Callithrix jacchus: one gene and its partners. The protein of the gene in region 1 interacts with the protein of each later gene in a pairwise test. Links are inferred from orthologs where the notes say so. Each region holds a gene or a part of one and is shown in the gene's direction. Other genes may lie near its edges. The genes, in order: DVL3, SYT6, TNFAIP8L1, BAHD1, SNX22, WT1 and KLHL12.

The links.
Region 2: the proteins of DVL3 (region 1) and SYT6 interact in binary tests that used the Homo sapiens proteins (3 or more experiments, as listed by UniProt). The two-hybrid records come from large-scale screens. The link is inferred for Callithrix jacchus from reciprocal best matches to the Homo sapiens genes DVL3 and SYT6.
Region 3: the proteins of DVL3 (region 1) and TNFAIP8L1 interact in binary tests that used the Homo sapiens proteins (3 or more experiments, as listed by UniProt). The two-hybrid records come from large-scale screens. The link is inferred for Callithrix jacchus from reciprocal best matches to the Homo sapiens genes DVL3 and TNFAIP8L1.
Region 4: the proteins of DVL3 (region 1) and BAHD1 interact in binary tests that used the Homo sapiens proteins (3 or more experiments, as listed by UniProt). The two-hybrid records come from large-scale screens. The link is inferred for Callithrix jacchus from reciprocal best matches to the Homo sapiens genes DVL3 and BAHD1.
Region 5: the proteins of DVL3 (region 1) and SNX22 interact in binary tests that used the Homo sapiens proteins (3 or more experiments, as listed by UniProt). The two-hybrid records come from large-scale screens. The link is inferred for Callithrix jacchus from reciprocal best matches to the Homo sapiens genes DVL3 and SNX22.
Region 6: the proteins of DVL3 (region 1) and WT1 interact in binary tests that used the Homo sapiens proteins (3 or more experiments, as listed by UniProt). The link is inferred for Callithrix jacchus from reciprocal best matches to the Homo sapiens genes DVL3 and WT1.
Region 7: the proteins of DVL3 (region 1) and KLHL12 interact in binary tests that used the Homo sapiens proteins (3 or more experiments, as listed by UniProt). The two-hybrid records come from large-scale screens. The link is inferred for Callithrix jacchus from reciprocal best matches to the Homo sapiens genes DVL3 and KLHL12.

Annotation. Positions count from the first base shown.
Region 1 is NC_133516.1:13,139,265-13,143,330, forward strand, and holds the start of DVL3 (segment polarity protein dishevelled homolog DVL-3), read left to right. Parts: upstream 1-1,266; 5' UTR 1,267-1,550; coding exon 1,551-1,711; intron 1,712-2,594; exon of another isoform or gene 2,595-2,899; coding exon of another isoform or gene 2,900-2,970; exon of another isoform or gene 2,971-3,000; coding exon of another isoform or gene 3,001-3,098; intron 3,099-4,066. UniProt on the Homo sapiens protein: Involved in the signal transduction pathway mediated by multiple Wnt genes.
Region 2 is NC_133508.1:152,140,292-152,144,547, reverse strand, and holds the start of SYT6 (synaptotagmin-6), read left to right. Parts: upstream 1-1,456; 5' UTR 1,457-1,553; coding exon 1,554-1,716; intron 1,717-1,963; exon of another isoform or gene 1,964-2,134; intron 2,135-2,396; exon of another isoform or gene 2,397-2,553; intron 2,554-4,256.
Region 3 is NC_133523.1:4,392,656-4,395,505, forward strand, and holds the end of TNFAIP8L1 (tumor necrosis factor alpha-induced protein 8-like protein 1), read left to right. Parts: coding exon 1-112; 3' UTR 113-2,350; downstream 2,351-2,850. UniProt on the Homo sapiens protein: Acts as a negative regulator of mTOR activity.
Region 4 is NC_133509.1:46,140,418-46,143,917, reverse strand, and holds part of BAHD1 (bromo adjacent homology domain-containing 1 protein), read left to right. Parts: intron 1-1,281; coding exon 1,282-1,664; intron 1,665-3,237; coding exon 3,238-3,397; intron 3,398-3,500.
Region 5 is NC_133509.1:10,955,376-10,959,396, forward strand, and holds SNX22 (sorting nexin-22), read left to right. Parts: upstream 1-1,221; 5' UTR 1,222-1,295; coding exon 1,296-1,370; intron 1,371-1,762; coding exon 1,763-1,846; intron 1,847-2,245; coding exon 2,246-2,350; intron 2,351-2,847; coding exon 2,848-2,942; intron 2,943-3,038; exon of another isoform or gene 3,039-3,170; intron 3,171-3,529; coding exon 3,530-3,794; 3' UTR 3,795-3,895; downstream 3,896-4,021. UniProt on the Homo sapiens protein: May be involved in several stages of intracellular trafficking. Interacts with membranes containing phosphatidylinositol 3-phosphate (PtdIns(3P)).
Region 6 is NC_133511.1:97,782,733-97,786,232, reverse strand, and holds part of WT1 (Wilms tumor protein), read left to right. Parts: intron 1-571; coding exon 572-649; intron 650-1,638; coding exon 1,639-1,689; intron 1,690-3,500. UniProt on the Homo sapiens protein: Transcription factor that plays an important role in cellular development and cell survival. Recognizes and binds to the DNA sequence 5'-GCG(T/G)GGGCG-3'. Regulates the expression of numerous target genes, including EPO.
Region 7 is NC_133520.1:29,958,063-29,961,562, reverse strand, and holds part of KLHL12 (kelch-like protein 12), read left to right. Parts: intron 1-1,669; coding exon 1,670-1,887; intron 1,888-3,500. UniProt on the Homo sapiens protein: Substrate-specific adapter of a BCR (BTB-CUL3-RBX1) E3 ubiquitin ligase complex that acts as a negative regulator of Wnt signaling pathway and ER-Golgi transport.

The DNA of each region.
Region 1 (4,066 bases):
AGTTCTCCTGCCCAGCCTCCTGAGTAGCTGGGATTACAGGCCCCCACCACCACACTCAGCTAATTTTTCTTTCTTTTTTTCTTGCTCTGTTGCCCAGGGTGGAGTGTGGTGGCACAATCTCGGCTCACTGCAACCTCCACCTCCAAGGTTCAAGCAGTTCTCCTGCCTCAGCCTCCTAAGTAGATGGGATTACAGGTGCACGCCACCATGCCTGGCTAATTTTTGCATTTTCAGCAGAGAGAAGATTTCACCATGTTAGTCAGGCTGGTCTTGAACTCCTGACCTTGTGATCCGCCTGCCTCGGCCTCCCAACGTGCTGGGATTACAAGCGTGAGCCACCGCACCTGGCCTAATTTTTGTATTTTTAATAGAGACGGGGTTTCACCATGTTGGCCAGGCTGGTCTCAAACTCCTGACCTCAGGTGATCCACCTGCCTCAGCCTCCCATAGTGCTGGAATTACAGGCATGAGCCACTGTGCCCGACTTCCCCTGATCCCATCACAGCACTCTGTTTTACCTTCTTCATAGCAGTTGCCACTCTGAAGCTATTTACAAGCCTATGCGCTTCCCTCCAGCAGAAGGAAGGTCCTGAGAGCAGCCATGTCTGTCTTGCTACCGCTATATCTCACGCAGTATGCCTTACACATAGTAGGCCCTCGGTGTTTAGTAAATGAATTAAAAGGAGGTCTGAGAGGAACAGGCTATACCTAGTTCGGGTTGGTGACTTACTGTCCGGGGTGCATGCATTAACTTATTCTTCATTTAATAATTTATTGAACCACTGCCTTGCAACTGGACGCTAAGGCTATAGGGAGGAATCGAACTGGATGCTGTCCTGCCCTTGAGGAGATCAGTTTCGTAGACAACGTGACAGCAGTTGTGCTTCTCAAGAAACCCTGAAGGGCCATGTTGCCGTCACTCTCCTCCAGGGATCCAGAGTCAGAGCCACCCTCTTTCCGTAGACCATTTCTGGGGACCAAAGCAATCCCTGCATTCCACTCCTCTCGGACCGCAGAGGAACAACCCATCCCAATCAGGTCCAGAGTCAGGACTTCGCGGTTCCGGGAACGCCGCCCTCCCGGTGAATCTCCCGTTCAGTCTCTAAGGACCCGGGACCGGAGCGGGGCGGCCCGGCCAGGGGGCGGGACATCAGCGGAGCCGGGTGGAAGTCCATCGAGGCCGGCGAGGCCGGCGCCTCCGTGCGGCGGCCGAGGGCGGGGCGCGCCGGGGCGGGGCGAGGCCGCGCCGGGCCGGGGGAGGGGAGCGGGCCGGGACGCAGCCCAGGGCCGGGAGGGCCGCGGCCACCGGAAGAGTAGCGGCCTCCAGCCCAGCCGGGAGAGTGGGGAGCGGAAGCGGCGGCCGCGGCGGCGGCGGGCGGCGCTGGGACCCGGGAGCGGCCGGAGAACAAGGGAGCTGGCGCCGCGGGCCGCCGCCGAGCTGGGTTGAACCGCCGGGCCGCGCCGCGCGCCGCCGCCGCCGCCGCCGTGTGGGCTCTGCCCGGCCGCCTGAGCAAGGCCGCGCGCGGGCCTCCGGGCCCGAGGCCGGAGCCATGGGCGAGACCAAGATCATCTACCACTTGGACGGGCAGGAGACGCCGTACCTCGTGAAGCTGCCCCTGCCCGCCGAGCGCGTCACCTTGGCGGACTTTAAGGGCGTTCTGCAGCGACCCAGCTATAAGTTCTTCTTCAAGTCTATGGACGACGATTTCGGGTGAGAATGGCCCCTGCCCGCCCCCGGGAGCCAGAGGCGGCTCCCCAGGGACGACGCAACCCTTCTCGACTTCCCTCGCTCACCCGCTCCTAGCCCCGCTCTGACTTCAGGGGCGACTCGGCCCATTGGGGCCCCGTGGGTTCCAGCCGCTCTAGGGACTGCCATTCATCCCTGAAGCGGGGACCTGGGCCTCCCTGGTTGAAGGGGACGTCCAGCTCCCCGAGAGCAATCAGAGTTCCTGCCGTGCGGTCCCCTCACCTCCTCAGGGACCAGTGGCTCCCAGCGACAGACACACCCCCCCCTCCACCTGGTTCCGGAGCCCGAGTCTCTGTCCTCCTCCTGCCGAGGGGCCGGCGCCACCTTTTCCGCAGACTGGGGTTGCGTGGCCCTGGTTCTTCGCCCCTTCGTCTTTTCAGCAGCGCAGCTCCCAGCCATATTTGGAGTATGCTGCAGCTGAGTGCTCTGCTGGGACTCTGAGCTGGGGGAGGGGTGACGGGGGTGCTCGGGCGCCGGCCGGGAGCAGGGTCTGCAGATCTCATGTTTATCTTAACTGCCTCTCCTCTCCCTTGTGGGCTGCTGGGGGTGTTGTCACTGGAACAGAGCGCCTGACCCCTGAGGACTGGTCCTCACTGACCCAGGTGCTGATTTTCCTCCAATTCTGGCCTTTTTCCTCCAGATGGTGGCCAAGGGGGAGACGTTGGGAAGGGCCTGGGGCCTGGATGGGAGGGCCAGGAAGAGTTTCTTGGTGTTCTCCATCTTCCCCTCCCTGGTGGGGTCTTCCCTTCCACCCAGCTGCAGAGATCTGGACAGGCAGAGTTGGGAGGCAGTCACTTCCCCTTTAAGAGGGGATGGAATGTTGGAGCCGGAAGGTTCTGAAGCAGCTGGCCTGGAGCAGGGGGGGCCAGCCAGATCCCCTCGAACCCCCCAACTCCCAGGAGACTGGAGGAGGGGAAGGCGCCCACACTAGCCTGCCGCCTCACTAGCTGGGCGCTGGGCCTGGAGTCGTTGGGGAAGGCCCCACCAGGCCTGAAGGCTGCCTTTTCAGCCCTCGCCTGCGGCCTGGACTGCTCTTTGGAGCTGAGGCCCCACAGCCAAGAGGAGACATTCTTCTCCCCAGTGTTCATCGGTCTGGCTTCTCTCCCAAGCCCCTGACCCACCTAGCCCTGGGAAGCAAGCATCTTCTGTCTAATGCCTGTCGTGTGTTGCTGTCACCTTCTGCTCGGCAACTCAGGATTGGATGAGCCCCTGAAATCCTGTGTGTGAGAGTCCTTTGTACAGTGGGCAGTGCTATGCAGATTCTAACTATTCTGGTTTCTGTTGTTGTTCCTGCCCTGGGGTGGGGTGCTCCTGCTGTGGTGACGATTGTCTGCCTTCAGCCCAGAGACAGGTACCTCTGATTGGAAGATTCTGAGGAGGGATGGATCCAGAAGGGGTCTGGGTGAGGGGGTGGGTGCCTTGGCCTGGCAAGAGAATAGAGTTAGAAGGGATCAAGCTACAGCCTCCACGTAAGGAATGGGGGAAGATCAGCCAGAGTCCAGTGCCCTGGGGCCATCCCAGATCCAGATGCCTTGCAGGGCTAGGATAGGCTGTCTCTCCAACCTCCACTTATCTCTAGATCCACCAGGCCTGGCCCCTGCCTCCTAAGCCTGGACAACTCTGGGCTGCTGTCACTCTCCCAAGGCTGCTATTGAGGCAGGCCAAACTGTAGTTATAAGAGGGCCCTCATTACACCAGTCACTGTTAATATTTTTCTTTAAATCCAGTGTCAGTCCACTCATTCTTAATCTTTTTTTTTTTTGAGACGGAGTTTCATTCTTGTTGCCCAGGCTGGAGTGCAGTGGGCATGCACTCCATCTCTACTAAAAATAAAAAATTAGCTCCGCCTCCCGGGTTCAAATGATTCTCCTGCCTCAGCCTCCCTCTCCTGTAGCTGGGACTACAGGCACGTGCCACCATGCCTAGCTGATTTTTATATTTTTAGTAGAGACGGGGTTTTACCATGTTGACCAGGATGGTCTTGATCTCTTGACCTCGTGATCTGTCTGCTTCAGCCTCCCAAAGTGATGGGATTACAGGTGCAAGCCACCACACCCGGCCCACTCATTCTTTTTCTTAGCTTAAACCAAGCAATAATGTGAAACCATAGGTCTGATTTTCTATTTATATTTCTTTCTAAAATACGTTTAACGTAAATATTTAATGATTGAACTAAGCAATGTTAATTTATGTGCCACCTGAAGCCATCTTGCAAACGTCAGTGGTACTTGAACCAAAATATCAGAGTTGGACCATTTTAGCAGGGTTGAAAACAGTGCTAAAAATGAAGTGGAGGCTGGGCTCAGTGGTTCACGCCTG
Region 2 (4,256 bases), on another chromosome or scaffold:
CCTCCTATCACAGGCACAGGGGTTAGGGTGGAAGATGCGAGCCTTCCACAATTGCCTCTCCCCCATCCTCTAACCCAGTGCTCACGTGATGGTAGCACCAACTGGGTTCAGCACCGTGGACAGAGCCAGGGAACGACTCACGGTGGAAAAGCCGCCTGCCTGACCCAGGGTCCTCACAGGCCACGTCTTGGCCCTTGGTGCCCAGGGCACTAGCTGCTAGGGAATCGCAAGTCCAAGGGCCTGCTGGCACAGATGGCTCACAGTGGAGACTGCCAGGAGCTGGGGTTCCGAATCTCCTCCCTCCGGAACCTGAGTCACTGCCCGAGTCACTTCCAATAAGCGTGTTAATTAAGGGGCGAGACCCTCCTCCCTCACCAGCCATTCGGGCATACACCAACCCAGCGGTTTCCAGGGCTGCAGCTAAAGTCTCCTTCCCAGCTCCGGGAGAGCAAATGGACTGGAGTCTGGGGCTTCAGGCGAGCCCCACACAGAAGGGGCCAAACGCCGACAGGTGGAGATCAAGAGACTCCCGTGATAGGCCCCTTCAGGGAGCTGGTTCCGCGGCCTCCCTGACCATGGCGCACAGACTTCCAGCGCTAAGTGAGGAGCCTTGAGGCCCCACAGCTAGTCTGCTCCTGGGCCTCACTCCACAGTTTCTGGGGGAATCTCTACTTTAGCCTCAGTCCTTGCGTTTAGCTTTCTTGTTATGCTTAGTAGAAAGATACATGATCTCTGGAGTTGTTGCACTGAAGTGGAGAGGTGGGTCGGCGGAACTCAGCGCCCCGCGCCCTCTTGAAATGACCCCCCATTCCTATTCGCCAGAAACTTTCCCCTCCCGTTGCCATGGAGAGAGACGGCCGCTGGCACCAGTCGCCATAGCAACACGCGGGTACCGCGGACCGCAGGATTGCGGAGCTCTGAAAGTCTTGCAGTTCGCATCGCCCGCCTGTCTTGAGGTCTTCTACCTCCGAAGCTGGGACTTGGGGCCAGTATAACTTCTCCGGTCAGGAACCGCGGCCAAGGCCCTTCCAGCCCCAGCCTGACCGTCGCTCTTTCTGTTTCAGGGTTATCTATTTCGCTGCCATTTGTGTGGCATGTGGCCGTTTACCCAATGTTTTCACAAACACGATCTTTCTATTCCCAGGCAGCCAGTGAAGCACTTAAAATCATTACACCTCCTTTACGGAGAGGGAAATTGAGGCGCAGAGACGCCCAAGGTCACACCAAGCAGTGAATGCAGAGCGGGAACCCGGGCTCTTTATCAGCCTTGCACCCTCTGAGATTCGGGACAGCCCGACTCCCTGCCTCGAACCCCCCTCCCCTGACTCAGGCCAGTCCCTGAGTGTAGAGGGGGCGGCTGCGAGGCGCCAGACTTGCCAGCTGCCGCGGGATGCCACGTGAGGGGCGGGGACCCTGCGGGGAAGTGATTAAAAGCGGAGCGGAGCCGCAGGGGGCCGCTGCAGGGAGGGTCTTCTAGGGGCCGTAGTGCCCCGCCCCAGTGCGGCCGCTGCGCGGGTTCGAGCTGCTGCTCGGCAGGCCTGGGTGTCTGGGGCATGAGCGGGGTGTGGGGGGCCGGCGGGCCTCGGTGCCAGGAGGCGCTCGCGGTTCTCGCCTCGTTGTGCCGGGCCCGGCCGCCCCCTCTTGGGCTGGACGTGGAGACTTGTCGGAGCTTCGAGCTGCAACCCCCAGAGCGGAGTCCCAGCGCGGCAGGCGCAGGTAACGGGAGACCCAGAGCCCTCTCCCTTCTTCGATTCCCGTCCTGCGGACTCCCCTCCCCAGAGCACCGGTCCCAGGAGCCCCAAAACCTAGAGAGAACTCTCCAGCTCGGTATTCTGGATTGGAAGCCAGCCTCGGGCCAGTCCCCTGGCCCATCGCTTCCACAGCCAGGAGACACCAGAAAGGGACCGGGGGTGGGGGTATAACTCCCCCGGTCCTCCGGTGTTACTACTGCGGGGGACCCCACAGACAGCCAGGCTCCCAGGATGGGGCACCCTCGGGGCTTCAGTTTCCCTCGCATCTCCAGGCTCGCTCTGCAGGCGACCTGCCAGAAGAGGGGTCCGTGGAGAGAGCGGGAGACGAGGGGCGCCTAGCTGAGGAAGAAAGCTTGTCTCCTAGCGAGTGTCGAGGTCCCGGGGTTCGTGCATCGGTCTGTCCGTCCGTTTGTGTGTTCTCGTGGTGAACACGGAGGACCCCCGGTCTCTCTGGGAGAAACTTGGGTCTGCGGCTGGCACGAGGTCTTTGTGTCCGGGTGTCTCTCCGGCTGCGAGTGGTTTTCCGCGTCTCCGCTGGGGGGCGGGGGACAGGGGGCGGGGTGGGGGAGGGTATGAGGGTGTCGCGTCGTCCTTCCCCCACCCCCCTCGCCCCTATAACTCGCTCCCTCGGTCCCTCTCGGACTCGGACTCGGGGCGGGTGCGCGACTGAGCCGGCGCCTCTCGCCGACTTTGCCAAGAGGGCGCCTCCTGCCCGAGCCGCGCGGACCCTGCGTCGGACGCAACCCCAGGCGGCTGCCGAGCCGAGGCGGGAGCCCGAGCCGAGTCGAGCTCGCTGGAGCGGGTGAGTCCCGAGCCCGATCCCCGCCGGGCTGGACCCCGGCGCGCAGCTACGGCGTCTCCCGGGAGTCGCGACAGCGGGAATGGCGTGTCGCGCCCTGGCGGCGGGAGACGCGGGAGGGTCGGCGACGTGGCGGCCGGCCCCGGGTATTTACCTGCTGCACCAGTGCCCTGCGGCCACAGTCGCCGGCCGTCGCGAGGCTTCTTTGTCCCGACGTCTTGAGGGTCCGGGGCCGGAGGGAGTGCGGGGTCGCGTCCCCTCCGTGGGGGAGGGGCTGGGGGAGTGAGAGGCCTGGAGAGAATGCGGAATGGGGGTGGGGAGATCCTGCAGGGACCAGGGCACCGGGGGTCCAGGAGGCTCTGCAGGCTCCATCCCTCCTTGTCCCCCGACCCCGACCCCAGTAGTGCTGGGCCTGCAAGTACTCGGGAGTTGCCCCGTGGCTCCGCACCGCAGGCGCGGGAAGGGGAGGGAAGGGGCTGCCAGAGGCAGGAATTTGGTCCCCAAGCGTTGCTTCGGGGACAAGAAGCCTGGGACCGTAGCGGCGGTTCCGGGAGCAGGTACAGGTGGGGTAAACTCCCCAGCGGCTGCAGGTTCCCAGGGTCCTGTTTTCTTTCACTTGAGGTTAAAGGTCATATACGGAGGTAGATTCCGATGAGGAACACTTCAGGCGAGGGGCAGTGGCCCAAGGGGAGGCTTGTGTGTGTGAGGGGGCTGTATCCAGCCTTGGGGTGAGTGGAGCCCACCTGAGCACTGAAAGTCGAAGGAGTCGCTGCTCTCCCTAGTTGTGGCAATGTTTAGTCAATGGTTTGATCACTGCAGCAGAAGAGACTGAGGTTAGACATGAAGAACTTTTAGAGGGTGGTTCAGAGATGGAGATTGGGGAAGTTGATTCCTCACCTCGGAGATTCTCAGAACAGATTAGGCCTGGCAAGTTATTACAGGTCTCTGGTTCTCCAGTGCCATCCCCTCCTACACCACCCATTTCCCCATACCCACCAGACACAGAATTTTCCCTATTAGGGAGTCTCTTCCTGCCTCTCCCTACTCCCCAGCCCCCTTCCATCTTTTCCACCATTGGTCCATCTCCAGCGCCGCCTTAATGTTTGACCCTCAGAGCCTAGAGGGTGAGAACATACCTGTCTAGTTCCACCTTGAAAGGAAGCTGCCCCTCCTGTCTCTCTAGGGCAGAAATGCTGGGCGGGGGAGGGGGGGAGATGCTGGAGGTGGGGTAGGGCTATCTGTGCACAGCACATCTTGGTAGGGGGAGGCACTGGTGTTCTGATTCCAGAGGGATGCCCATAATCTGGAATGACAGGTGCCTGCATGGCCAGGTTGTGGGTGAGAAAAGCCTGAGGGGTAAGAGTCAGCAGACCCAGATGATGACTATGCCTTCCCTGCAGGCTGCCTCAGGACATGAGTTTGAGTTGTCAGCTCAGGAAAACTTTAACTTTGGCTGCTGAGTCACAAGTCCAAGAAGCCCAGGGGGCAAGCTGGGAGGCTGAAAGGGATATGGAGGGCGGAGGCAGGGGCAGACCCTTTGATCATAGCAAGAGAAAGAAAGTGGTTGAGAGTGGTCTTAGGATCCTGAGAATTTAGGTGACCACAGGGTCTGGGGAGATTCTGTGGAGTCCAGGACCAGGCCCCAGCTGTTCTTCCTCCCAGCCTGCTCTCTGCATCCCAGAGCCACTACCTGGGTCCAGATTCTC
Region 3 (2,850 bases), on another chromosome or scaffold:
GGCCGACTGCGACTTCCTGGCCGCGCTCTACGGACCCACGGAGCCCTACCGCTCCCACCTGCACAGGATCTGCGAGGGCCTGGGCCGGATGCTGGACGACGGCAGCCTCTGAGCCCCCCAGGGGCCGCCCGACCGCGCCCCTCGCGCCTGATGGGGCTCCTCTGCTGGGTGTGGGGTTTTTTTCCCCACTTCTTTTCTCCCAGTCGGACTCCGGCCAGACCCCCCTAGACAGGTGGGTGACCTGTCCCCTTTGAGAGGACGCGGAGCCATCTGTATGTAGCAGCAGTTTCAAACGCCGATGTCGCCTCTCCTCCCGGCCCCCGCCCAATGGGGGAGGGATTCGAGGCCCTACTCTGCGGACCACTGCCTCGCCAGGGCCCACCTTCCACTTCTGTTGTATTTTCTGGGCCAGGCCGACCCCTGGGTTGCCTGATGTAAGCCAAAAGCTGCTGCTTCGCACTTGATGACGCTGCCTGGGGTTTTCCTCCTTTCGCCCAGGGACTGGGAGTTCACACAGCGAACTGGGGGAAGGCGTGTTAGGGGGCAAGCCATAGCCCCCCAGAATCCATAAACTCCCGTCCTAACCCCGGGACCTCAGAAGATGGTCTGATTTGGAAAGAGGGTCACTACGGCTGGAATGAGTTCAGATGACGCCATCTTGGAGTAGACCCACCCCAATTCACTGACGTGTCCTTAAAAAAGGGGGGTTGGATCTGAGTCCCAGCACACAAAAAAAGGGGGGGTAATTGGGCCACGTACGGTGGGTCACGCCTATAATCCCAGCACTTTGGGAGGCCGAGGCAGGTAGATCACCTGAGGTTGGCAGTTCGAGACCAGGCTGACCAACATGGAGAAAACTTGTCTCTACTAAAAATACAAACAGCCAGGTGTGGTGACGCACACCTGTAGTCCCAGCTACTCGGGAGGCTGAGGCAGGAGCATCGCTTGAACCCAGGAGGCGGAGGTTGCAGTGAGCCGAGATCACGCCATTGCAGTCCAGCCTGGGAGACGAGCAAAACTCCATCTCAAAAAGCGCTAGCAAATGCTGGCATTGCTGGCATCAAGGATGCCTTGATGAGGCCAGAGACCTCTGCCCTGGGTGGGGAGGGGAAACTGCTCCAATCCAGGGACTGCCCCCTACCCCAGGGGTGAGGAGGAACCCACCTAAGATGTGTGCACATTCTATTTATTGTTTGAGACACAGTCTCGCTGTCTCGCCCAGGCTGGAGTGCAGGGGTGCGATCTTGGCTCGCTGTAGCCTAGAACTCCTGAGCTCAAGTGATCCTTCCACCTCTGTCCCAAGTAGCTGGGACCACAGGTGTGCACCACCACACCCGGCTCATTTTTCTAATAGTTGTAGAGACAAGGTCTCACTGTGTTGCCCGGTGTGGTCTCAAACTCCTGGGCTCAAGCGATCTACCTACCTCGGCCTCCCCAAGTGTGCACATTGTAAAATCGTGATTTCATGTCTGGAGAATCAGCAACTAACCAGCCAGCCATGTTGCTTTTATAAGCCAGACCCAAGGAAGCAAACCTCGGCCCATCTTGGCTTCTGGCACCTCCCACAAGATGTGATTTCAGCTGGGGACATGGAGGCGGCGTGTGGGGAGTCTATTTCCCATTTTTGTTTGTCAGAAGGGGGCACGGGTTCTCGAAGATTGCAAAATGCTGCCCCAGGTCGGGAAGGTTATTTTGGGTGCCTGTTGGGGCGGGAAACGAGGTCCCATGACTGTTGGGCAGAACCTGTCTGTGGAAGGTACAGGTTGTGAAGGGGCCCATGGACCTTACTCGGTGAGAAGGTAGGTGTAGCTGGCTCCATCCAGTATTTGAGAAATTTGGAATTTGCCAGTTTTTAAAACGAGGAGATCGCACACACCCGTCTGGATTTGGAGATTCTCTTGCAAACCTGCCCGTCGAGCCGCCTGAGTCTGCGCTGACCCCTGGTGAAGCTGTGTGGGGCCACCCGTCTCCCTTTTGCCACAGTCCTCTCCACTCCCTTTCGCCTCTCCCTGGCCTGCTGCACTCACCGAGAGGAAATTCTGAGCCCACACTTGGAGCAGCCTTCCTGTGGTTTGGTTTCTTGCTTCTGCAAAAAGGCCAAAGGCTTTGGCCAGAGAGCCAGCTGTTCCTACCTCTACCTACGCTTCCAAGGCAACCTTCTCAGCTTATCTCAGACCGAGATAGTTCTTCGAGGGCGTTTGCGCATTCCGGTTTTCTCATGGAGCCCCCGATGGAATCCTGGGCCGCTGAGACATCAATGTGCGTGCGTGACTGTCTGGGCCCCTGTTGGGCTGGCCAGCCTGTCTGGACTCTTGTAAATTTGAGATTTAATTAAAGGAAACAAAGCAAACAGAGCTATGGAACAATTTAAATAAAAGCATTCACCAAGCTGGGCACGGCGGTTCACTCCAGTGAACCTAGTGCTTTGGGAGGCTGAGGCAGGGGCATCACTTGAGCCAAGGAGTTCAAGATCAGCCTGGGCAACATAGCGAGACCCTACCTCTAAAAAAAAAGAATTATATATATATACACAGGGCTGGGAGTGGTGGCTCACACCTATAATCCCAGCACTTTGGGAAGCTGAGGTGGGCGGATCACTAAAGGTCAGGAGTTCCAGACCAGCCTGGTCAATATGGTAAAACCCCATCTCTACTAAAAAGTACACAGATTAGCCAGGCATAGTGGTGGGCACCTGTAATCCCAGCTACTTGGGAGGCTGAGGCAGGAGAATCACCTGAACCTGGAAGGTGGAGGTTGCAGTGAGCCAAGATTGTGCCACTACACTCCAGCCTGGGCAACTCAGAAATAAAATTTAAAAATAAAAAATTATGGCTGGTCAGGGTGGCATGC
Region 4 (3,500 bases), on another chromosome or scaffold:
CAGCCTCCTGGGTGGAAATGAGGTAACCAGAGCCATGCCGGCCAGCAGGTCTGCCCTGCTGCTGGGGAGGTGAGGGTTGTACCTTCCAGAGATATCCCTCCCCCGACATCCTTTCTGTAGGGGTCTATAAAACAACTTTATAGACCAGTTGGCCCTGGCCAGACTAGTTATTTCAGGTTGTGGCTTGAGTTAAAGCTCTTAGGACATCAGAACAGGCTGCTGCTTGGGGTTTTCCTTCTTTTTTGTGTGCCATTCCCCAAGTCTAGACCCTTACCCCTTTCTCTAATAATAAGGACACCAGTGAACACCATATACCAGGCACCGTTCTGAGTGCTTTACATATGGGATGTTCCTTGGCATGTAATTGAGCGCAGACCCCAGGGCAGGACTGCCTGGAGTGAAATGTTCTCCCCCACTTTCCTAGCCATGTGACTATGGGACAAGTCAGTAACTGCTCTCTGTCTCAGTTTTCTTAACTATAAAATGGGGGTAATAATACCTACCTCACAGGGTTTTTGTAAGGATGAAATTAGTTAATGTGTTCATAAGAAAATAGCAAGTTAACAAATATGTGTGATATTCATAACTACTGTTTATATTGCTTTGAGGGGCAAAGTGACTTGCCTGAGGTCATATGGCTAGTAAGTGTCAGGACCCAGGCTGTCTGGTTCCAGAGCCCCTATTCCCAAGCATTATGAAAGGCTTATAAAGTTAATATTATCAGGGCCAGGCACAGTGGCTCCTGCCTGTAAACCTAGCACTTTGAGGGGCCGAGGCGGGCACATTGCCTGAGCTCAGCAGGTTGAGACCAGCCTGTCTAACATGGTGAAACCCTATCTCTACTAAAAATACAAAAAAAAATAGCTGGACGTGGTGGCGGGTGCCTGTACTTCCAGCTACTCAGGAGGCTGAGGCAGGAGAAACACTTGTATCCAGGAGGCAGAGGTAGCAGTGAGCTAAGAACATGCCACTGCACTTCAGCCTGGGCAGTAGAGCAAGACTCCGTCTCAAAACAAAAAAAGTTAACATTGGAGTTAAAAAGGATGTTCCCACCACCTCTTTCAGACTAAAAGAGGAGATGCCAATCTCCAAGATCAGGAAATGCCCCCGTCCCCTTAGAGAGTCACTCTGACAATCCACCATAAAGGCTTCTGATCACATTGGCCATCTCGGTGGCCTTTGGTTGCACACTTAGAATTAAGACAGGAACAGCCTCTGCAATTAGATGGGTGATGAGGGTCACTGCTTGTCCTGTCCTGACCCACTCTCTCCCTTTCCTAGAAGGCTGCAGATCCCTGGGCCAGCTGGAATTTCCTCTCCCGGAAGCTGGCCACCCAGCCTCACCCGCCCACCCCCTCCTGGGATGCCCTGTACCCAGTGTGCCACCTGCAGCAGAGCCCGTCCCCCATCTTCAGACACCCACCTCGGAGCCTCAGACAGTAGCCCGTGCGTGCCCTCAGAGCGCCAAACCTCCCAGCGGTTCTAAGTCAGGTCTGCGCACGGGCTCTGGCTGCAGGCACACTGCAAGGAGCAAGGCTGCCCGCAGGCCCAGCCACCCCAAGCAGCCACGTGTCCAGCGCCCACGCCCTCGCCGCCGCCGTCGCCGCCGCACTAATGGCTGGGTACCTGTCGGGGCTGCCTGTGAGAAGGCTGTGTATGTCTTGGTGAGTGCCAACTTTTAGCTGATGATGAGAGGGAAGGAGGCAGTGGGAAACACAAAACCTGCCGTGAGGTAGGTGCTAAGAGCACCTGGTTCTAGCTACTCTGAGAGGTGACAAGGGACTCTAGTTTACTGGTACCCCAGGAACCACTCATGCTGGCCCACCCTGCCTGCTTCCCCAGCCCCCTACCAATCCTGTACCGGACACCCCACAGAGGTCAGGAGACACATAGTCATAGCTGGTGGCTGCCATCTCTGTGTCTTCCTGAGTGTCTTTCTCCTCCCTGCTCACTCTGTCCCTTACAGCCTGAGTTGTAAAATGGAGGACTTTCAATGGAGAACTTTTCTGGGTAAGTCCATATGGAGAAGTTGGAACGGGCAGAGAAAATCAGTGATACAGAGGACATCTGGGATGATGAAAAGAGGCCAAATGCAGTGGCTCACATCTGTAATCCCAGCACTTTGGGTGGCGGAGGTAGTAAGATCACAGAAGGCCAGGAGTTCAAGATCAGCCAGGGCAATATATAGGCTTCATCTCTTCAAAGTAAAAACATTAGCCAGGTATGTTGTGCACCAGTAGTCTCAGCTCCTCGGGAGGCTGAGGTAGGAGGATTGCTAAGGTCCCGGAGTTTAAGGCTGTAGTGAGCTGACTGTACCACTGTCCTCCAGCCTGAGTGACAGAGTGACCCTGGCTTTTAAAAGTAATTAATTAAAAATAAAAAGAATGTCAACTAAAATTTATTGAGGCTGGGCAAGGTGGCTCATGCCTGTAATCCCAGAGCTTTCGGAGGCTGAGGCTGGAGAATTGTTTGAGCTCAGGAGTTCAAGACCAACCTGGGCTACATAGCAAGATCCTGTCTCTACAGAATATTTTTTTAAATTAGCCAGGCATGATGTCATGCCTCTGTAGTCCCAATTACTTGAGAGGCTGAGGCAGGAGAATTGCTTTAGTCTAGGAGGTTGAGGCTGCAGTGAACTATGATTGTACCACTGCATTCCAGCCTGGGTGACAGAGCGAGACCCTGTCTCTAAAAATAAATAAATAAATCAACAAACAAATAGATAAAATTTATTGAGTACTTCTTAGATGCCAGAACTGAGCTAAGCACTTTGTATTATTCCCTCTATGCTCCACCACTACTCTATGTGGTATATATTCCATGTTCTTGTAATTATCCCCATTTTACAGATGCGGAAGCTGAGGCTTAGCAGTGGATTAAATAATTTGTCTAAGACTGTGCCCCTTCTAACAGTGATTTAAGGGTTCAGACCGAGATTGTTCCATTAGGAAGCATGAGCACTTATCCAGCATTGAGGGGCTTGGAGTGAGAGTCAGCTGTCAAGGGGTATGGTGGTCAGAGCTCAGTCCCAGAAGCTTCAGGCCACTCCACCACCCCTGCCAATGCTGTTCCCATTTCCCATCCTTTCTCCAACCATGAGATTTCCCCAGCCCCATCCAAACCTGCTTAGTGGTATGACTACCTTGAGGAAATCGTAGAGAGTAGGTCATTCCCTCCCTCTATCCTTACTCTGAGTGTGGCCCTCAAGCCTCTGTGTGTCATTGGTTTGTTGCCTAGGATGAGCCGGAACCAGCCATCCGAAAGAGCTACCAGGCGGTAGAGCGGCACGGGGAGACAATCCGAGTCCGGGACACTGTCCTCCTCAAGTCAGGCCCACGAAAGACCTCCACGCCTTATGTGGCCAAGATCTCTGCCCTCTGGGAGAACCCAGAGTCAGGTACCTCTCCCTCTGGTTGGGGACCCAAGGCGCAGCTGCTTTTAGCAGGACTGTAGGCCCCAGATTGGCCCCTGCCTAGAGTTTGACCTGGCATGAGTCTTCC
Region 5 (4,021 bases), on another chromosome or scaffold:
GTGTAGGGCTGAGAGGTGGGAGCAGAGGCCCTTTCCAGCACATGGCCTGAGAGAATTCTGGATTAAAATTCTGCCACATATCTAGGAAGCAGCTGCCCAGAGGGGTGGACAAGGGCAACTTGTGCCACCCCCTAAAGTCCCTCTTCCCATCCGCTGCCCTGTGCCAACTTGTCCTAGTCATCCAGGACAAGCCCACAGTCAAGCTGCTACTCAATGCTTTTGCTAAGGACCTAACATGTCTCACTTTTTTTTTTTTTTTTTGAGACAGAGTCTTGCTCTGTTGCCCAGTCTGGAGTGCAATGGCACGATCTTGGCTCATTACAACCTCTGCCTCCCGGGTTCAAGCCATTCTCCTGCCTCAGCCTCCAGAGTAGCTGGGATTACAGGCACGTGCCACCATACCCGGCTGATTTTTAGTAGAGACGGGGTTTCACTATGTTAGCCAGGCTAGTCTTGAACCCCTGGCCTCAGGTGATCCACCCGCCTCAGCCTCCCAAAGTGCTGCAATTACAGGTGTGAGCCACTGCTCCTGGCCAAATCGTCTAACTGTATACACTCTCGTCAAGGAGCCACATTATGCCTATTTTGCAGATGAGCAAAGGTCTACAGGGTTCCTGAAATCCAGGCTGTCTGATCCCCAAATCAGAGCCTAAGTCCCTAAACTGCGTCTTCCCCACAAACAGCCTGGAGCCGCTTAGGTTTAGAAGATAGAAGTGGATGGATGGATGAAAACAATGACTGAACGGAGGGGCCTGTGGATGCTGGGGAAGGGGACATCATACCTGGATTGGGTCCACGCCCTGCTCAGGTGTGGCCTCAGCCGGGGACTCCAGGTCGACAATCCCAGGGACTAGGCTGAAAGGAGGGAAAGGCTGGGGAAGGGACTGAGGAACGCAAGGCAGGTAGGTCCCTGGTTGGCCCGAGGAGCCGCACTGAGGCCCGAGCCCGGCCTCCGTCTACGCCTGGAGCCACAGGCCGTTCTTAGTCCTTAGTAGACACTTAAGATGGGTGACATTTTCGCTCACCGGTTCCTGGCATCAGTGAGCGCTCAGTAAATGTTTGACAAATGGGTGACTCCACTGCCCCGCGCTGCGTCCTGGTCCCGCCTAATCTTCTGGGCCCAGGACCCGCCGCGTGAGGGAACGCCCGGGGCGGCGTCGCCTGGAGGCGGGGCCTGGGTGGGGCCTGCGGGCTTAGGGGGCGGGGCGGGGCCGGCCGCGCAGGGGTCGTCTGTCTGCTCCGGGAGAGTTAGGGCTCGGATCCGAGCGCACGCAGCGGCCGGGGCCGGGGCGCGGATGCTGGAAGTTCACATCCCGTCGGTGGGGCCCGAGGCCGAGGGGCCCAGGCAGAGCCCGGAGAAAGGCCACATGGTGAGCGCGGCCCCTGGATGGGGAGGGACGCTGGGACCTGCTGAGTTTCCCCGCGCTGCGCTCAGTGGGCACCCGGAGCCCGGGCCGGGGTGAACGGGCGCTGCGGGCCGGACCGTCGGGGGACACCTTGTCGAGGGTTTGGGGGTCGCTTGGATTTGCCACCCTCGCAGACTGTGGTTCGGGCTCTTGAGAGACCACAGGGCGCCGAGGGGTGGGTCCGCCAGCCGGTTCTCCCAGGTGTGCAGGAGCGGAGCGTCCCGGGGAGCCGCGGCGCCGCAAGGCCGCTTTGTGCCTTTGAGCGCGGGGCGGGTGGGCGCGTCGCTGGGCGCGGGTCCTGCTTCGTCCTCCCGCGGGGTCTCACGCGCACCCCCACTGCCCGCCCGCGCCGCCAGGTGTTCCGAGTCGAGGTGTTGTGCAGCGGACGCAGACACACGGTGCCGAGGCGCTACAGCGAGTTCCACGCGCTGCACAAGCGGGTGAGGCGGCGCCGACCCCCCACCGACCCCAGCCCAGCCTCCGTCCAGCCCCTGCCCAGGCCCTGTGAGGCGGGCGGGCGAGCTCCAGCCCCAGGCTCCGCAACCCCCATGACTGCCCTTATCTGAGGAGGGGAGGGTGCAGGGGGGCACATCCTGGTTCGCACCGACCATGCCCCTTTATGGCCGGTCACCCCGGGAGGCCCAGCGCCCACCCTCCCGGGCATCTGTGGGTGGTTTGGGGCCTCCCTCGCCATCGGTCCGTCCACCACTCATCAGGGTCTGTCCCAGAGTAGAGCCTGAAGGCGGGGGCACGGGGCGTGGGAGGGCTTCTGGCTTGGGCGAAGAGGGCGTGAGGACTCAGTCGGGATGCTGTGATCGCACGCGGTAAATCCCCAGTAGATCAAGAAGCTGTACAGAGTGCCCGACTTCCCCTCGAAACGCCTGCCCAACTGGAGGACCAGAGGGTTGGAACAGCGCCGGCAGGGCTTGGAGGCCTACATCCAGGTATGCAAGGGCATGATTGGTCGCCGCAGCCTGCTGTGCCAGGGATGTGGCCCAGACAAAGAGGTGTGGGGCCATGGCAGGGAGGGAACCCACAACTTGGGGATGTTATTCAGCACCTCAAGCGTGCATTTTCTGAAAAGTAATATAGGTCCAAATATCCCTCTCTGGAGTATTGAAAGGACTGAATGAGGTAACAGACACAGGTAGTCCGAGCTCCATGAAAGGCAGGTCCTGTCCCCTCCAGGATGAGGTCCTGTGCTGCCCTCCTGATGGGATGTACTGTGAGTGTCTTCCCCCAACAGCAAAGCTATGCCAGTTCGCTGGGTACAACCTGTGGACACAGGGCCCAGTACTCACAAGGGCCCTGAGCTTGGTTTAATGCTCTGCTGTCATTGTCTTGAAATTCTTTTTTTGGAACAAAAAGTCCTGCATTTTCAGCGACATTGGGCTATGCAAATTAGTAGCTGGGTCTGATTGCAGGTCTCTGTCCTCTCCAGGGCATCCTGTATCTAAACCAGGAGGTACCCAAGGAGTTACTGGAATTCCTGAGACTTCGGCACTTCCCCACAGACCCGAAGGCTAGCAGCTGTGGGTAAGGGGGCGCTGGGGGTGGGGGCCAGGGGCTGTCAGCAGAGAGCAGGTAAGGAAAGGTGTTGGAGGGCCAGCCCTTTCTTCTCACACCTGCCAGGCCCCAGCCTGACATGACCGCCCTCACCAGCTTTCTCGACCTGGGTAGAGGAGCTTTTTTGGACAGCCTTGGTTACCCCAGCCACCTCCGGAACTGGGCTTGTTACAAATAGAAGCAGTGGTCCCCTGGGAGGTACAGTTCTGGGCTCTGGTGTCCCCACCCCTTCCTCACGTTCCCCCGGGCATCCCCAGGCAGCTTACAGTGTTTCTCTTCTGTTCAGCACCCTGGGGGAGGTCCTGCCTGGTGACAGCAGGCAATTCAAGGCCCTGACCAGTGCCTGGCCCCTGCCGCCCCCTAGTGGCCATATGCTAGGAGGCCGGCCTGCTGCCTGGGCCTGTCCGGCCTGGGCCCTGTGGTCTGCCCTCCCCTTGGTGCCTCCTGAGCCCATTTCCCACTCACCTTTTCCTGGTGATCTCAACCCCATCTCCACCCCTCTGTGGGATTCTGCCCTGCCTCCCGCACCGATGGTTCATGACCCTCTTTCCTCCCAGCTCCCAGCAGCACCAGCGGCCTGTCCTGGGGTTCCATGTGGATCCCTATGTGTGCACCCCCTCCCCAGGTGAGGAGCTGCCTAGATCCAGGGCTACAGGAGGTGGGCTTGGTGTTGTTCTACTCCCGGGATCCCCAAACAGCATGTCCTTCCTGCTGCCCTCCTCTGGGGCATCACCTCCCACTCCCGTTTCCCCTGGAGCTGTACAGACACAAGGAAAACAAGTTTGGCTTCCTTGGTCTCCATTTCCTTCTTTACCAAGCTGATGTGAACAGAATGCAACCTGGGAATGCCAGGGCTTCATTTGGGATGGACAGCTGCTGTCTGCTGCCTTGGCAGGGGCTCCTACTTCCAAGGGCAGTTGCGGGGGGGCGGGGGGGGAGATGCTGAGCCCATGAACAGGACCTCAAGGAGCTGCAGGCCTGAGGCCAGACCTGTTTAATTCTATCCCACAGAGCCGCTGCCCAACGTGGTGGTGGATGGTGTGCTCCAG
Region 6 (3,500 bases), on another chromosome or scaffold:
TAAAACATATAGAAAATGATTCCTTCAGCTGTGCATCGAGTTTATCATCATCTTTCTTCTGCTTGTCACATTTTTGCTTTCTAGACCATTTATCACCCATCACTCTTTGACTTTTCAGACCCTCATAATCCACATGATACTTATCCTTTTGATTAAAACAACTTAATGGCCTTTTCACGAATAATTAATCTGCTGTCTTTACTTTCAGCTCCAGGCTTTTAACTTTAATGTTGAGTTATCCAGCCTGCGTTGCCTTTCAAAGTTTCACTCCCCTTAGCCTTTTCCCCTCAAAGGTTTCATACTTCTTTAGTAACTTCGATGGTTGCCATACTAAGGTTTTAAAAAATGCTTCCGAGTTACTCTCCCATCTTTTCTGCTGTGTATGAAGTGTATAACTGCGCAGAGATCAGTGGGATGAAATGAACATAATTTCAGACTTGGATATTCTGTCATTCTGGAAAATGTGGAGGCTTCCACTCTCAAGAAAAGTTAAAACTCCGTTGCTTTTGAAGAAACAATAGCGTATTATTTTGTGCTTATGTGTTTCTAACTCTGGATGTTTTTTTAACAGTGACAATTTATACCAGATGACCTCCCAGCTTGAATGCATGACCTGGAATCAGATGAACTTAGGAGCCACCTTAAAGGGGTAAGGTCTTCTCTATTCCATTGCCTTTCCACAGTAACTCACACCTGTTTGAACCATTTTAAAGGTGCTTAGAATTTATGAAGAGAGTACAGTTTTAGAAGAATGGGCAGAGCTCTCTGTGGCATTAGAATGCTTTCCTCCTTCCCCTAGTTGATAAGTTCTGTTCAGTATTAAATTTTCAAAAACATAAATAGGTGGTGTCTCTATCTGAAACAAGGAATATTGGGGACAAAGCCATTCAACCTCATTTAATAATTGGGTTTTACTATGATGTCACAGTTGTTAACCATTCTGCTATCTTATCAAGAGGTGCTTTGGGTGTACAAAGTCCAGGATCCAAATTCATATTTGTGTGATGCTGATCTGGGCAATCCACAGTCCGATATGCCCATACCTGATTGCACCAACAGAGTTTTTCTTTCCATACTTGACCATACAACCATAATAGGGAGAATACAGCCAGGAAACATAGGAAGGGGCTACTCTTTGCACCTAAAAGTGAAAAAAAAAAAGAAGGTGGGACTTGCTTTCATCAGTGAAAGAACTCTTTTCATTTTCTAATAAATATGAAGAGATGGGCAATAGCATAGAACACTCATGAAGTGCCTGCAGCATGTCAGGTGCTCTTCCAGGTTGCCTCATCTTATCTTCCCAACACCTTCATGAGGGCTAAGTACTGCATGGTTTACAGATGAGTAAACCAAGCTCAGAGTGTTAACTTACTTCCCAAGTTCACATCCTACTAAGTGCTGGAGCTGGCATTCCAAGTCCACATCTGATTCCAAAGTCCAAGCTCTTTGCAGCCTCCAGGTGGTTCTTTCCACCCCACCATTGGCCCCAGTGGGACTGGGGACTCAGTTCAGCACTCTTGACACCTAGCTTGATGTCTCTGTATATTGAGGGGCTTTTCATTGGATTCTGGGATCTGGGGGGATTACCAGAGCCATGCATGCTCCATTCCCCACTCCCCACCTCTTCTTCTCTTCTAGAGTTGCTGCTGGGAGCTCCAGCTCAGTGAAATGGACAGAAGGGCAGAGCAAGTGAGTGGACAATGCGGAGATGGCCAAGCAAATGGCGTAGGCCTTATTGACTGGCACCTGGGGCAATGCAGGAGTTAGGACTGATGTGGGTAATCAGGGTAGCATTTGGTGGATGGGAAGAGTCTCTCTCCTCCGGCCCCACCTCTTCTTGTTCCTCTACACTGCTGGGGATGAAATGGAGGGAGTGGCATTTCTCTTCAGTGTGCTCCTGGAAAACAATTTAAAGATGATGCAGTAGGAATCCTGCTCATTTCTTTGTGAATATTTCACAAAATACTAAATTTGTAGCATTACATATGTTCTCGTTAGATCAGTCAAGTCTTTCAGTCTTAACTTACTTGCTTTTTCTTTATTTACGTTTAAGTGTCTCAGGGAGAACTTACCCTAAGTCAGAGGCCAGGCTTTGCGAAGATTTTTTTTTGGTTGTTTTTCAAAGTTTTTTAAAATTCCCAAACATTCACACCTTTCCCAGCCCTATACCCTGCACCCTGGGGCATTTCTGTAGCTGTTTCTTTTTCTTTTCTCTGCTTAAACTCGGCAATCAGCCACCCCCATTTCTTCTTCCTTGTGTTGGCCCAGTCCTGCTATTTGGTTCATCCTTAAGTAATCAACAGAGTTGTATTTCATCTTCCAAGACTTACTGTTGGAGTCTTCACTTCACTCCACCCCAGTATTTTTCAGCAATTTTACCCAGATCTTCTCTTCCTCTCTGGAAATCAAAGAAGAAGACTTCTGTTATTTTAAGTTATATCTCTCCTGTCTTTCATCCAGGGGACTGCTGACAGTTTTCGCTTCTTTCTACCTGTTCTTAACTTGTCTTAAGCTCAGGGCTTTTTGGTCCCACTCTTTCTTCCTGGCTCCCTTCCTTTTCTCCTTTCTCCTCTGCTCAGAACTTGATAACGTTCCCCAAGTTAAATGGCAAGGATAGACAGAACATGATTGTGAAGTGAGCAGTACGTTTCAGTTTTAAAAACATCTTCATGCTGTAATACAGGGGTTCGTTTGTTCAGTTACAAAAATCACAGATAAGGAATTTTGGCATGTATTTGCAGCTGGATCTTTCCATAGTTGAGATAATTTCGATACTTTTTAAGGTCTTTTGACACGTGCTCTTAGTCACTTGCTGAGGAGGCAGAAGCTATATTGTAAGGATGAAGCACAACGTGTCAACAGTTTCCTCTGTTCAGTCCTGCATAAGAAAAAAAAATGAGAAAAGTTTTCATTGGTCTGTTACTTACATTTGGAAAGGATTTCTGAAATAAAAATGTATTTTTCTTTTTCTTTTTTTTTTTTGAGACCGAGTCCCACTCTGTCACCCAGGCTGGAGTGCAGTGGTGCAATCTCGGCTCCCTGGAATCTCTGCCTCCTGGGTTCAAGTGATTCTCCTGCCTTATCCTCCTGCGTAGCTGGGATTACAGGCACTTGCCACCATGCCTGGCTAATTTTTGTATTTTTGATATAGACAGGTTTTCATCATGTTGGCCAGGCTGGTCTCTAGCACTTGACCTCAGGTGATCTGCCTGCCTCTGCCTCCCACACCTGGGATTATAGGTGTGAGCCACCACACCCGGCCTAAAAATGTATTTTTTTGGCTGGTCATGGTGGCTCACGCCTGTAATCCCAGCACTCTGGGAGGCTGAGGTGGGCGGATCACTTGAGCTCAGGAGTTTGAGTCCAGGCTGGGCAATGTGGTGAAATCCCATCTCTACAAAAAAAAAAAAAAAAAAAATTAGCCAGATGTGGTGGCACATGCCTGTAATCCCAGCTACATGGAAGGCTGAGGTGGGTGGATTGCTTGAGGCTAGGAGGCA
Region 7 (3,500 bases), on another chromosome or scaffold:
CTTGCTATGTCAAAATAGCCCTGGAAAGGTTGAAAATTAATAGTGTAAACTTAATCGTGACCATTTTGGAGACAAACTGGATGCTCACGTTTACTGGCTATCCCTTTTGTCTCATTAAGCAGTAAAAAATCAGATGTCAATAGCAGTATAAAGGAACTTCTGATATGCATATGTGGCTCTATGAAAGGAGCACTTGCATGTTTTTTTTTTTTTAAAAAAATGTAAGAAGAAATTATGTATTTTCTTACATACATGTATATAACACATCTGTAAGAAGTATAAAAAACTGATATTTTACATAGCCTACAGGGATACTCTTCATTTACCTGGCCATTAAGTAGCCAGGTTGATAATGAGGCTAGGGGGACTTTTCATGGTAAACCCTTTTGTATCTTCAAATATTTGAACTATGTAGAATATCTGTTAAATGAACTTTAAATTCATGCACAAAAAAATGATAGTTTTCACAGGATTACAGATGGTTTGTTTTCCCGTACAATTCCCAGGTTTTTTGGGTTTTTTTGTTTTGTTTTTACCACAGGGTCTCCCTCTGTCACCCAGATTAGAGTGCAGTGGTGCAGTCACAGCTCACTGTAGCCTTGAATTCTTGGGCTCAAGCAATTCTCCCACCTCAGCCTCCTGAGTAGCTGGGACCACAGATGCATGCCACCATACCCACCTAATTAAAAAAAAAAGTTGTGGAGATGAGTTCTTTCTGTGTTGCTCAGGCTGGTCTCAAGCTCATGGGCTTAAGTGATCGAGCTGCCATTCCTGGTCCCCAGTTTTTCTTTTCTTTTCTTTTTTTTTTTGAGACAGAGTTTCGCTCTTGTTACCCAGGCTGGAGTGCAAAATGGTGCAATCTCGGCTCACTGCAACCTCCGCCTCCTGGGTTCAGGCAATTCTCCTGCCTCAGCCTCCCGAGTAGCTGGGATTACAGGCACACGCCACCATGCCCAGCTAATTTTTTGTATTTTTAGTAGAGACGGGGTTTCACCATGTTGACCAGGATGGTCTCGATCTCTTGACCTTGTGATCCACCCGCCTCGGCCTCCCAAAGTGCTGGGATTATAGGCTTGAGCCATCGCGCCCGGCCCCGGTTTTTCTTTTTTAACATTCAGTTATGTTTTCATTATTCTCAGTTTTTATATATACATAATTGACACATTTTTAGTTTTTAATACATGATTTAAATAGCGTGATGCTTTTGCATTAGTGCATAGTTGTAAAATTTAAATACTCTGAACTTTTCAATTAGGTAAATATGAGATTTGTTATTACTGTCTTCTGCTTTTCTTTCACTCGAGTCATTTAGTAGGTTTTTGTGTAGAGTAGAAAATAGGTACATTATGCTGAATTAGTAATTGGTTTTATAGTTTGATTCCCAAGAGTTTTATAGGCATGTTTGTTGAACTGTGCTAGTGTCTCTGGATGCAATTCATCTTGCAATACTGATTTTAAAGAATAAGCAGAGACGGGTGTAAAGGTCTTGCTGAAAGTGACACAGCATGTAAGCCAGAAATAGAGTTTAAGATCCTTAAGCATAGAATTTCTAATCTGTTTCTTAGGGTTCATCTGATAACATGTAGAGAAGATGTCAACATATAAGAATATAGAGTAGATCACACCTGTCTGACTATTCTAAAGTGTTTGCTGCCTGTGTCTATCCTAGGTGTGAAACAAGCCTGCTGTGAGTTCTTAGAAAGTCAGTTGGACCCTTCTAATTGCCTGGGTATTAGGGATTTTGCCGAAACCCACAATTGTGTTGACCTGATGCAAGCAGCTGAGGTTTTTAGCCAGAAGCATTTTCCTGAAGTGGTACAGCATGAAGAATTCATTCTTCTGAGTCAAGGAGAGGTGGAAAAGCTAATCAAGTGTGATGAAATTCAGGTACAGATTTGTCTTTGTGTTATGGTTTCTTCAAGATTGGGCAATTACAAAACTGGCAAAGTAGGATGCAGTTACTTACCAGGGCTTCATATTCAAGTGTCCATATTGGCTCAAAGATTTCATTAATCCCTCCTGTACCAAATTTATTTGTATTTTTATGGAGAGGGAGTCTGCTACTTTCTTCAGTTAGGTGTATGATCCCAATCGGTAAGAATCACTATTAAACAGAGTATAGAATAAGCAGAAATTGGAAGTAAAGTCGGTATCTGTAGAACACGTCTTTATTACGCATTCACTCAGTTCACAAAATTTATTGAGAATATCTACTATGCAGCAATACTATGCCAGGTGCTACAGATCCCCAAGTGGGTAAATATAGTTTCTTGCTTTCAGAAAATTCACAATATGCTAGTAGAGACAGGGATATAGATAAAAAAAAAAAAAAAAAAGGTTGAGAGGATAATGAGAATAATGAGCCTATACAAAGTAAGGACATTACATAGAAGAAAGAAGAATAAACCCAGGTGTGGATCAAAAATGAAGAGATAAAAGTTTGGAAGTGAGGATCTTCATAAGCAGGAGACAAATCAAAACTTTCTTTTGAGGGTGCAGGGGATGGAAGGAAGGGACAGGTGAACTAGATCTTAAAGGAATAGTAGGCCAGGTGCAGTGGCTTATGCCTGTAATCCCAGTACTTTGGGAGGCTGAGGCAGGAGACCTGCTTGAGCCCAGGAGTTTGAGACCAGCCTGCAACATGGCAAAACCCCGTCTTTACAAAAAAATAAAATTAGCCTGGCATGGTGGTGAGCACCTGTGGTCCCAGCTACTTGGAAGGCTGAGGTGGGAGGATCTCTTGAGCCCAGGAGTTTGAGGCTGCAGTGAGCCATGATCACATCACTGCACTCTAGCCTGGTCAGCAGAGCAAGAGCCTGTCTCTTGTGGGGGAAGAAAAAGGAATAATGTTTCACCTACCAGTGGGATACTACCTGTACCAGGCAGGCATTCAGTGACTTAACCTATACAGAAGAATCTTAAGTCAATTCTAAATCAGATACCAGTAGCAGAGTTTTATTGCATACAGGTCTATAGTTAGGCTAAAAATTGGAGTGAGAAGTCCAATATAGTTATTAGATGTCTTTGAAGCCTGTAGTGTTGATCTCCAGTGGCCCAATTCTTTAATTTTTGTTTTTGCGATGGTCTCACTCTGTCACCCAGGCTGGAGTGCAGTGGTGCAATTATGGCTCACTGTAGCCTGTATGTCTGAGATCAACCAACTCTCCCACTTCATCCTCCTATGTAGCTGGAATTGCACACCACCACTAATTTTTAACATTTGTTGTTGAGATGGGGGTCTCACTATATTTCCCAGGCTGGTCTCAAACTCCTGGGCTCAAGCAGTACTAGCCTCAGGCAATACCATTTAAAGAAAGCCTAAAATATACTTCCATAAATGAAATGATTACTCCCTCCTAATTTATTTTGTTAAAACTAGGATATTTGTGTAATAGAATAACAGATCTTAAGTATACCTCTTCCAGGCTGGAGTGCAGTGGCATGATCTCAGCTCACTGTAACCTTCACCTCCTGGGTTCAAGCTCTTCTCCTGCCTCAGC